Canis lupus familiaris: one gene and its partners. The protein of the gene in region 3 purifies or fractionates together with the protein of the main gene of each other region. This does not show direct contact. Links are inferred from orthologs where the notes say so. Each region holds a gene or a part of one and is shown on either strand. Other genes may lie near its edges.

The links.
Region 1: the proteins of YAP1 (region 3) and WBP2 purify together in Homo sapiens (affinity purification with mass spectrometry; 7 studies listed by BioGRID and IntAct, with this or other methods). This does not show direct contact. The link is inferred for Canis lupus familiaris from reciprocal best matches to the Homo sapiens genes YAP1 and WBP2.
Region 2: the proteins of YAP1 (region 3) and AMOTL2 purify together in Homo sapiens (affinity purification with mass spectrometry; 10 studies listed by BioGRID and IntAct, with this or other methods). This does not show direct contact. The link is inferred for Canis lupus familiaris from reciprocal best matches to the Homo sapiens genes YAP1 and AMOTL2.

Annotation. Positions count from the first base shown.
Region 1 is NC_049230.1:5,630,295-5,633,562, reverse strand, and holds the end of WBP2 (WW domain-binding protein 2), read right to left. Parts: intron 2,827-3,268; coding exon 2,692-2,826; intron 2,473-2,691; coding exon 2,350-2,472; intron 1,923-2,349; coding exon 1,846-1,922; intron 1,741-1,845; coding exon 1,687-1,740; 3' UTR 586-1,686; downstream 1-585. UniProt on the Homo sapiens protein: Acts as a transcriptional coactivator of estrogen and progesterone receptors (ESR1 and PGR) upon hormone activation. In presence of estrogen, binds to ESR1-responsive promoters. Synergizes with YAP1 to enhance PGR activity.
Region 2 is NC_049244.1:31,682,039-31,685,789, forward strand, and holds the start of AMOTL2 (angiomotin-like protein 2), read right to left. Parts: upstream 2,248-3,751; 5' UTR 2,121-2,247; intron 1-2,120. UniProt on the Homo sapiens protein: Regulates the translocation of phosphorylated SRC to peripheral cell-matrix adhesion sites. Required for proper architecture of actin filaments.
Region 3 is NC_049226.1:29,535,201-29,537,672, reverse strand, and holds part of YAP1 (transcriptional coactivator YAP1), read left to right. Parts: intron 1-858; coding exon 859-1,097; 3' UTR 1,098-2,472. UniProt on the Homo sapiens protein: Transcriptional regulator with dual roles as a coactivator and corepressor. Critical downstream regulatory target in the Hippo signaling pathway, crucial for organ size control and tumor suppression by restricting proliferation and promoting apoptosis.

The DNA of each region.
Region 1 (3,268 bases), on a different chromosome or scaffold from region 3:
TGCTCTCTTCAAATGCCCTTGTAGGGGGCTGGCCAAGGCCAAGGGCTCCTGGGCGGGGCTGGCAGCCAGGACAAGAGACGGACAGAGTCCAGCGCTTTCTCAGAGCCCCAGGCCCACTGAGGCCAGGCCCAGGCTCTCCTCCAGGCCAGGGCCCAGGGGCTGCAGGCCTGGGCATGGGCTCTGGGGGTTTCCTTCCCTCCCCTACACCCAGACGTGGAGGTTCACAGGAGCAGCCACGCGCTGGAGGGACTGCCTGGCACGTTCCTCCTGCAGGCACTGGGCCAGGGCCGCTCTTCCCCGGGGTGGGGAGCACAGCAGCCCAGCAGCCCGGCGCCTGCCTCCAGGGTCTCCCGCCCAGGGCAGCTGCTGTTGCTGCTGCTGCCCAGGCCCCAGGGGACCCCACGGGTGGGCCAAGCTGCTGAGTCATCAGCACAGACTAGAGCCATGGGGGGCCTTAGCGTGGGAACCAAGGGCTCTCACATGCGGAGGGGACGGTCTCCCCACGGGGCCACCCTCAGGGCCCTTAGCAGCAAGACCCCTTTCCCCAAAGAGTTCACACTGGTCACCACACAGAGCCAAAAAGGGTCCAGTCACTTCATTTTTACTACTTCACATTTTCAGCAAATAAAGGTGCAAACAGGGTTTATTTCACATTAATATATTAACTGTTTTTTTTTTTTTTTTTTTTTGTCAAATAAATAGGGAATTCTCTTTTAAATAACCATCTCCTCCCTTCTCGGCCAGTCCAGAAGCAAATGAAAGCAAATTTTAATGCATCCAGGGGGCATATCACCAATTATGCATGAAGCTTAAATGGACAAGGGCAGGGGGAGGGGCTGGTGAGGAGGTCACGGACAGCACACACAGGCTCAGGCCAGGCCCCAGGGGTCAGCACCCAGCAGCCCCAACACGGCATGATGGAATGAACATGCATTCTCCAGTTCCAGTCTGAGAAGCCCCTTCTAGAGGGAGAAGAGAGAAGGCCAAGGGAAACAAAAACCAAAAATGGAGGGAAGCAGTGGGCTCCCTCCCCATCACAGCAGTCTGGCCGGATGCCGCCCACCTTTCAGAAGCTCAAGTTAAAGCTCCAAAAGCCAAAGTGGTGGCAACAGAGGACCAAGGACAGAACAGGGAGGAGAAGGTGAGTGTGACCGGGCTGGAAGCTGGCTGGGATTGGAATGTGGGCCAAGAGCCCGGTGAGAACGTGGCCTTCCACAGGTAGGTACAGACCAGAGTGGAGGGAAGGTGAGAGGGGCCCGGCAGGGCCCCCAGGAAGACACAAGGCTGGTCTGAGGGAGTTCACAAGGCTGAGTATAAAGTGGATTCCAAAACGAGGGAGCTGGACTGCGGTAGAGGAGGTGGCCAGAGAGTCCCTCTGTGGGCAGAAGCTACTAGAGCAGGACAGGAACGAGGTGGATGCCCGCGCTCCTGAGCAGAACCCCGGAGATGGTGAGAGGGGAGCGCATCCGAGCGGCACCCTGGGCTCTGAGCTTGAAAAGCGGGAGGCATGGCTCCCAAGTCAAGGGGTGCCCCCCCTTCCCTCAACACCAGTCTCTGGGAAGTATTTTATAATCAGACCTGGAGGAAGAACAGGGCCCCTTCCATCACCCTCCTAGCCCCAGTGTCAGCCCCCAGGAGAAGGGAAGGGGAGAGTGATGAGGGGTGGGAGGCAGGGGCAGGAGGGGTCTACTGCGTCTTCTTATCTTCTGGGGGGTAGTAGGGAGGTGGCGGAGGCTGGTTCTGAGGGAGGAAGGAAAAAAAATCCCATTAGAAGGTTCACGACAAGACAAGGTCTCCCTGCCCCAAACCCTTGAGAGCTGTCGGCCCGCCCCCGGCCCGGCTCACCGTGGGCATGTAGACATTGTGTGGGTTGCCCGGGTTGTAATAGGCGCTGGCAGCCGCTTCTGCAGCCTTGGCTTCAGCTGTGAGAGCAAACACACTCCGGGTGAGCCCCAGCGACAAGCCCTCCCCTCTTCCAGTTGCCCCCGGAGGCGGTGCTACTGGGTCCCTTCCAGTCCCTTTACCCACTTCTCCCCACCTGATCCTCCGCACAATCCCACCATGTGGTACTGCCACTATCTGATCGTGGATGATGAGATGACAGAGGGAGATCTTCTCCGCCCCAGGGCCCACAGCTAGCGGCGGGGGGAGGGGTGGGGGGAAGGACGACTGGAATCTAGATCTTCACCAGCAGCCACCACACTGCCAATCCCCTGGACTAGACCAAGCCCAGGGGTCATTCACCATTCAGGGCTCCTGGCCAATCTCTAGCCGTTTGCTGAGCTCTCCATGCAGCCATGGAGAGGAGAGAGCTGGCCCCCCAGGACTGCTAGCAGCCCAGGGTCTCACCTGCTGGAGTGGAGGGGACATCAGGGCCGCTGACTGGAGGCTCCATGGGCCCAGGGTAGGGCGGCGGTGGAGGCTGCACATATCCCATGGCCCCATCCATCATGGGAGGTCCTGGATAGAACTCTGCTCCACAAGAGAGTGATAGAGACCCAGTGAGCAACCTAGCCCCCAGCTCCCTCAGCTGGCACCTCCCGGGCCTCTCCAGCTCCTCCATTTGTCCTGAAGCAGCTCAAAGAACAAGTCTCCCCTCTACAACCCCCTGGCCTGGCCGGGGGAGGGGTAGGGGTAGGGGTGATTAGTGGGAGGGGGGTAAAGGGGGTGGGCAGCAAAGGACACACTCACCAGGTGGGGGCGGTGGATAGGGGTAGCCAGGAGGGCAGGGGTACATTCCATTGGCGACTGGCGGGGGAAAGACATAGGCCCCGCTGGGCGTGTAAGAATACCCATAGGCTCCATTGGGGGCTTCACCTCGGGAGGCTATAAGTACAAGGGGAGAGAGAAGTGAGTGTCGTCTACCGAGGGGAGCTGCAGGGTCCCGGGAATGTGCACAGCAGACATGCCTTACTCCGTCCCATTCCATTCCCCACCCACGCTTGAGCCAGCCTCTTGAACAGAGAGGAAGTGAGGGATCTGGATGGGGACAGAGGTCAGAGCCAGGGTAGGGTAGGGTAGGGCCAGGGCAGAGGAGGACAGATAGACAGAGAGAAAGAGGGGGGCTCAGGGACGGGGGACTAGAAGGAGCTGGAGTAAGGCTGGGGACAACGTGAGGATGTCTGCTGAACACACCCCTTGGTGATTTAAACTGCCTAATGGTTGCTTAACGGTTGGGTTTCTTGTTTGTTTTTATAAGGCCACAGTAAAACGTCTCGGAGTCCAAAGAGCTGTGTCAAGATGTCCTATCCAGGCTCCAGACAGGGTA
Region 2 (3,751 bases), on a different chromosome or scaffold from region 3:
CCAGTCTAGGGGTAGACAGGGCCCCAGTTCATTGGCAGGTGATAAAGAAGGAGTCCAGCCTAGTAGAAGCCCTAGGCAGACAGCCCCTAGCTCCCTCTAGAATGTAGCATGCCTGAGCCCTAGGCTTGGCACGGGTAACTCACCACCCTCTACCACCTTTACCATGCTGGGCCCTCTCTGTCACGGGATGACCTTGACGGTCACTCTGCAAGGTGAACAGGAAGGACAAAAATGCATCGGGTTTGGCAAATAATAAGGGATCAAAGGAGAAGCTACAACAGGACGATGGTTTTGTGAAATGAGGTGAAAAAGATGCCACCCGTCAAGGTTTGTGGGTCAGTCATAGTCTGTGTGCTGACAGCAACTGCATGGGTGCTCCAGGAAAAACAAAGGGCGGCACCGTGTCTTTGACTTTAGGACTGTCCCTCCTACACACGTACACTTGCTACTTGGAAAAGACCCCGATGGCCCTCTGCCACATAGAGGGTGGGCACTCAGCATTTTGCCATCGGTAACACTTATCTGAGCTAACTGGAGGAGTAGGGGAGCGAGGGAGAAGCTCTTGGTTGCAGGGACCGGAGTCTGGGGCGGGGGTGGGCTGCTGGAAGCTTCAAGAGCAGGGAGTATCTCCTGAGGAAGGTATTGCCCTCTGAGCTTGGGCTCTCAGTGGCTCATGTCCCGAGGCTGCCTGCCTCACCCAGCTTCCTTCCACAGCCTCCTCCCACACAAAACTCCTAACTAGATTCAGGGAAAACCAAACAAAACCCCTATCCCCACAGGTCTTATGTATGGGGGGAGGTCAGTGGGAAGAATGTGGTCCCTTCTCGGCCACAAAACTAGCCCCATTGCCCTGCTGCCTTTAAGGTTTGGTAGGTTGGCAGAGCAGCCAGTGCCAATCTACTCCTCCCTCCAGGCTGCCCAGAAATGAGGAGAGGGAGAGGAGTCTGGAAGGCATCTCTGTGCCCATCCTTCTTGGCACCCAATCGGCCGCCCCCTCTCCCTACACCCCGGAGGCGTGGAGATGCAAGACTCCAGAGTTACCAGAGGCAAAACAAACTGCAATCAATTCGCCCTAGAGTTTCCTCCGCGGGGCATTTCCTAAAGTAATCAGTCTGGGCTGACTCTCCAGCCGAGAATGACGGTGGGGAGCAGGGTGGGGAGAAGGGGGGGGGGGTGGCGTGCAGAGCTTTCGGGACGGGCTCCTCGTGTCCCCCCCGCAGCCGTGAGCCTGGGAGCCGGGAGCACCTCCGGGGCCCCTGTGCCGCGTTTGTCCCCGTCAGACCCCTCAGATGCACATTCTTTCGGCTGAGCCGTTACTAAAATCTGTGACCGCGACCCGGCCATGCACCTTCGCTGCACCGGCGCACCCCGGCTTCCTGAAAACCAGCGCCCCCTCCCCGGTAAGCAAACCACTCCGGCTCGCGCCGGGGCTCGGCCTCGCCTACGGAACCCACGCGAGGGTCTCTAAGGAGGCGTGCACCGCAGCAGGGATGCCGCCCTGCCCGGGCTCCCGGCCGACCGCGAGCACCCGGAGCGCGCGGGGGGGGGGGGGGGGGGCGGGGGCCGGTGGCCCAGCAAGGTCTTTAAGCGTCGCGGGTCCGCCTCCCTCCCGGCCTCCCGAGCCCTCTTTGTTTTCCGAATGCTCCAGCGCTGACGTCACCGGGCTGGCCGGCCGGCCGCATTCTTTCTAAGTGAGAGCCGTTCCGAGGCTCCAGAGAGGATTTTCCAAGGAAGACAAAGAGGAATTCTTGGACGGGTTGGGGGCAAGGACACCTGTGATCTGCCCCCAACCGGATCGGCCCCAGGGCCCGCACCTTGAACCCGCAGCGGCGCCCCTCTGCCCAGCCCACGACCCGAAGCATAAGCCCCCGCTCCCCGCAAAGGCTGCCCCCTCCCCCCGCCCCAGGGGGCCCGCGGGCCGCCCAGAGCTCGGGACGGCCCCGGGCCGCCTCTGCGCTTCCTCGCAAGGGCGCCCCGCACCCGGGGTCGCTCGCCGCGCCGCGCCGGGCTCCGGCTCCCGCTCCCGCTCCCGCTCCCGGGAAGGGCGGGCTGCGCGGGGGCTCCGGCTGCACCGTGGCTCCCGGGCCGCGCTCCCCGAGGCGCCGGGCGGCCGTCCTTACCGCTGCGGCCCGCGGGTGCTCGGCGTGGTCGGCCCGGCGCGGCTCGCCCGGCTCGGTGGCGGCGGCGGTGGCGGTGTGCACTCGGCGGCGGCGCCGACGCTCTGGCCGCCCGGGCCCCGGCGCGCAGCTCCAGGCTCGGCCCGCGCCGGAGGCGGCTGCTATGCCAGGAATGTGAGAGTTTCAGGTTCCCCCTCGGGATCAAAGCGAACCACAAATAACCTCGCAGCGCGCCGCCCTCCTCCGCCCTCCGCCGCCCTCCGCCTCCTCCCCGCCCTCCTCCCGGCCCCCGCCTTCCTCCCGGGAGGCGGTGCCGCGCGCCCCGGAGCTCGGTCCCGGAGCTCGGTCCCCGGGACGCGCGGCGCCTCCCTCCGCGGCCTCCCCACGCCACCGCCGTGGGCCCCCGGGGCTGCTGGGGACGGATTCATGCCCTCGGCCATTGCCACCCCCCCCCCCGACCCGTCCCCACCTCCACCTTGCACCCACTCCTTCAGCCCATCCGCGAAACGACACCCGGAGATGGGCAGTCGCGGGTCCCCAAGGGGTTCTGGGCTTTGCTGCAGGGAGAGGGGCCCCGTGTGTGTGTGTGTGTGTGTGTGTGTGTGTGTGTGTGTGCAAGGGGAGGAGGACTGTCAAGATGTCCACACCCGCCCGGCTTGCTTGGACTCTACCTCGGTCCGGCTCGAGTCTCCGAACCCCCACTGCTCTCACCGCCAGCGGCCACCCTTGAATTGCCCTGTTATTGTTTACAAACACCTTTGCCAGCTCTTTTAGGGCCTGTCTCCACAGGAAGTGTGAATCTGGGTTGAGAATCTTCCGGTTAATTGGAGCCACCGAACTACTTGAATCACCCGCGGGCAGGCGCTCTGTCCAACATTTCTGGAAAAAGGTAGTAATGGGCATCCCCGAATTTACGCAGGGTGCACGGTGTGCCACCACCCGCTCCTCGCCTCGTCATCCCAGGCAGTCCTCCCAAGTCATCCTCCCAGGGAATTCTGTTATCATCCCTGAGTTTAAATGAGGAAACCAAGGCCCAGGGAGGTTAATTAGCTTGCCCCAGGGTCACGCGGAGCAGAAGTGATGAAGCCAAGTAACCGATGGCTGCTCAGTTTTTTCTTTTCTCTTTTTAAATTTCAATTCAATTCAATTTACCAACATATAGTATAGCACTCAGTGCTCATCCCATGCCCTCCTTAGTGCCCATCATCCAGTTACCCGAGCCTCCTCACCCACCTCCCTCTCTGCAACCCTTTGGTTCCCAGAGTTAGGAGTCCCTCATGGTCTCCCTCTCTAACTTTTCCCCACTCAGTTTCCCGCCTCCCTTCCCTTATGGTCCCTTTCACCATTTCTTATATTCCACACATGAGTGAAACCACATGATGATTGTCCTCGGGTTGACTTATTTCACTCAGCAAAACACCCTCCAGTTCCATCCAGTTTTACTTACTTACTTTTTTTTTTTAAGATTTTATTTATTTATTCATGAGAGACACACAGAGAGAGAGAGAGAGAGAGAGAGGCAGAGACACAGGCAGAGGGAGAAGCAGGCTCCATGCAGGGAGCCCGATGTGGGACTCCATCCCAGGTCTCCAGGATCATGCCCTGGGCCGAAGGTGACGCTAACCACTGAACCA
Region 3 (2,472 bases):
TCTGAACCCGCAGGGCCAGAGTGACTCTCCCGCTGGCCACCTCTTTGGCCGACAGCTCCTCAGAGTGTTTGGCGCATCTTTTCTGCCTGTACTCATCCTGCTTGTGGCCTTGGTGTGTCCTCCAGTGCTCACCACCCCTCCTCTTCATTTCCCTGAATCTGAGATCACCATATTCCGGTGCCTCTGAGACTGTCTCTTGCCCATCATGCTTTTTTCCTTGTCCTCTCCCCAACGTCTCCATTCTCCAGAACCCTGGAGCTCTCAGTGGGCAGTGTCCATGTTCCTGGAAGCTCTAAGGAATGTTAACGTTATGTTCAAGAAAGGCTTCCAGGCCAGATAAACCAGGCACCTCTAGAAGGAAAGCTAGAGAGATTCTGTATATACAAGGACTCAGGAAACTGGTTTGCCATTAGGAGTGTGACTTTCCCAGAGCAGAAGGCAGTTTTCATCTAGTCCTTTTTCCTTCTTTTACAGTTCCCCCGTGTGCCAGGTAAAGAAAGAGGCGTCTGTGAGCATCATTTCTATATTTTATCTACCATATAGTTTGACCTGGAGAGTCTGCAGTGACACTCTTGTGTGGCATTCTTGTTCTCTCTCCCTTGCTGTCCATAAGTTTTTGAGGGATTTTTATTTTTTCTTGTGAGGCCTTTTGGTGCTGAGCACTTAGTAATAAAACATTGAGCTGTTGCTTCAGCATCTGTGCACATGTTAAAACAGAAGTAAACTTGGTATTTTGTTTTCTGCGAGCTGTTTAACCTAAAGTAAACTGTGGGAGTTGGCGCAGGAGGTCGGTCTCCATTCATTTCTGGATGCTCACCTAATGGAGCTCTGATGTCTGCTTTTCTCCATCCCAACTAGGTGATACTATCAACCAAAGCACCCTGCCCTCCCAGCAGAACCGTTTCCCAGACTACCTAGAAGCCATTCCTGGGACAAATGTGGACCTCGGAACGCTGGAGGGAGATGGGATGAACATAGAAGGAGAGGAGTTGATGCCAAGTCTGCAGGAAGCTCTGAGCTCTGACATCCTTAACGACATGGAGTCCGTGCTGGCTGCCACCAAGCTGGATAAAGAAAGCTTTCTCACATGGTTATAGAGCCCTCAGGTAGACCGAATTCCAAATCTGTGAAGGATCTAAGGAGATGAGACGTGTATGCTCGAAATTTCCAAGTAAGCCAGTCGTAGTCTTCTGGCTGACACCGAAAAAGATGAACAGACGTCCAGCAAGATTCTTTCATCCACTATTTTGCTCTTCGTGTCCATTGCTGCTGTTAATATGTTGCTGACCTCTTTCATAGTTGGCTCTAAAGAATCAAAAAAAAAAAAAAAAAAAAAAAACTTTTTTTTGTTTCTTTTGCTATTATAACTACTGTTCGTTTTGGGGGCTGGGGGAAGTGAGCCTGTTTGGATGATGGATGCCATTCCTTTTGCCCAGTTAGGTGTTGACCGATCATTTTAACTAAATCCTCAGACTTGGAAGTCAAATGCTTCATGTCACAGCGTTTAGTTTGTTCAGGCAATTGTTTCTTCAGCTGCCTTTGGCCAGTGGAGAAACATGACTTACTGGTCTGCCAAGCCAAAAATGTTGTATGGATGTTGAGTCCTTAATGCTGATGTGATGAGCTAGCTGAAACCAAGGCTGAAGACTGTTCTGCTTTCCCTCACACTGCTAGCATTAGTCACAGAGTGACCTTGATTTTATTTTAGGAGCTTCTGAGGCATGAGACAGTTTCCATAGAAATATATTAATTATTGCCACATACTGTAGTATAGGTTTTGGTGGGTTTTATTGTGGGTTTGGTTTTTTTTGTTCGTTTTATTTTGTTTTGATTGGTTGGGTTGTGCTTTTTTTTGTTTTTGTTTTTCCCCCAGAACCGAGACAAATTACCATAGTAGCCAATCTGTTTATAGTTGTTGCTTGGTGCAGTTATTGTAGTTCCTTTGGTAAAATCTACATTTCCTAATTTTTTACCATCTTATTTAAATCTTGATTATCTGCTCTCTCTATATATATACCCCCACACACACTTATAAGGTTTATAATAGTGTGATAGCAGAATGTATCTTTTTTTAAGGTTTCCATACTTTCCAATTTATTTTAAAATGGTAGTTTTGAATGTATGTATTTAGAATATGTGACTAGTAGTTTATATCTCACGGTAGTGTAAATCTGATTGAGACAGTCTGCAGACATTAGAGGTAGTTATTCTAGAAAGCATAGTGTCTGGAGGAGTACTATATGCACTCTGGGCACACAATATTGTCTGATGAATTTGAAAGAAGCAAACAAGATACAGCTTTATTTTCCCTTGACACTCCCATGGACTAATTTTGAACCTTGTTGGGAAATCACTAAGTAGGTTCATAACATACATGGAGACTTGCTCCTACTTCTGTATGCCGAGAATTGACCCTGGAAGTATATATAGAATACTGCCGAGGGTATAAGTTAGCTGGTAAAGTGATCAGAT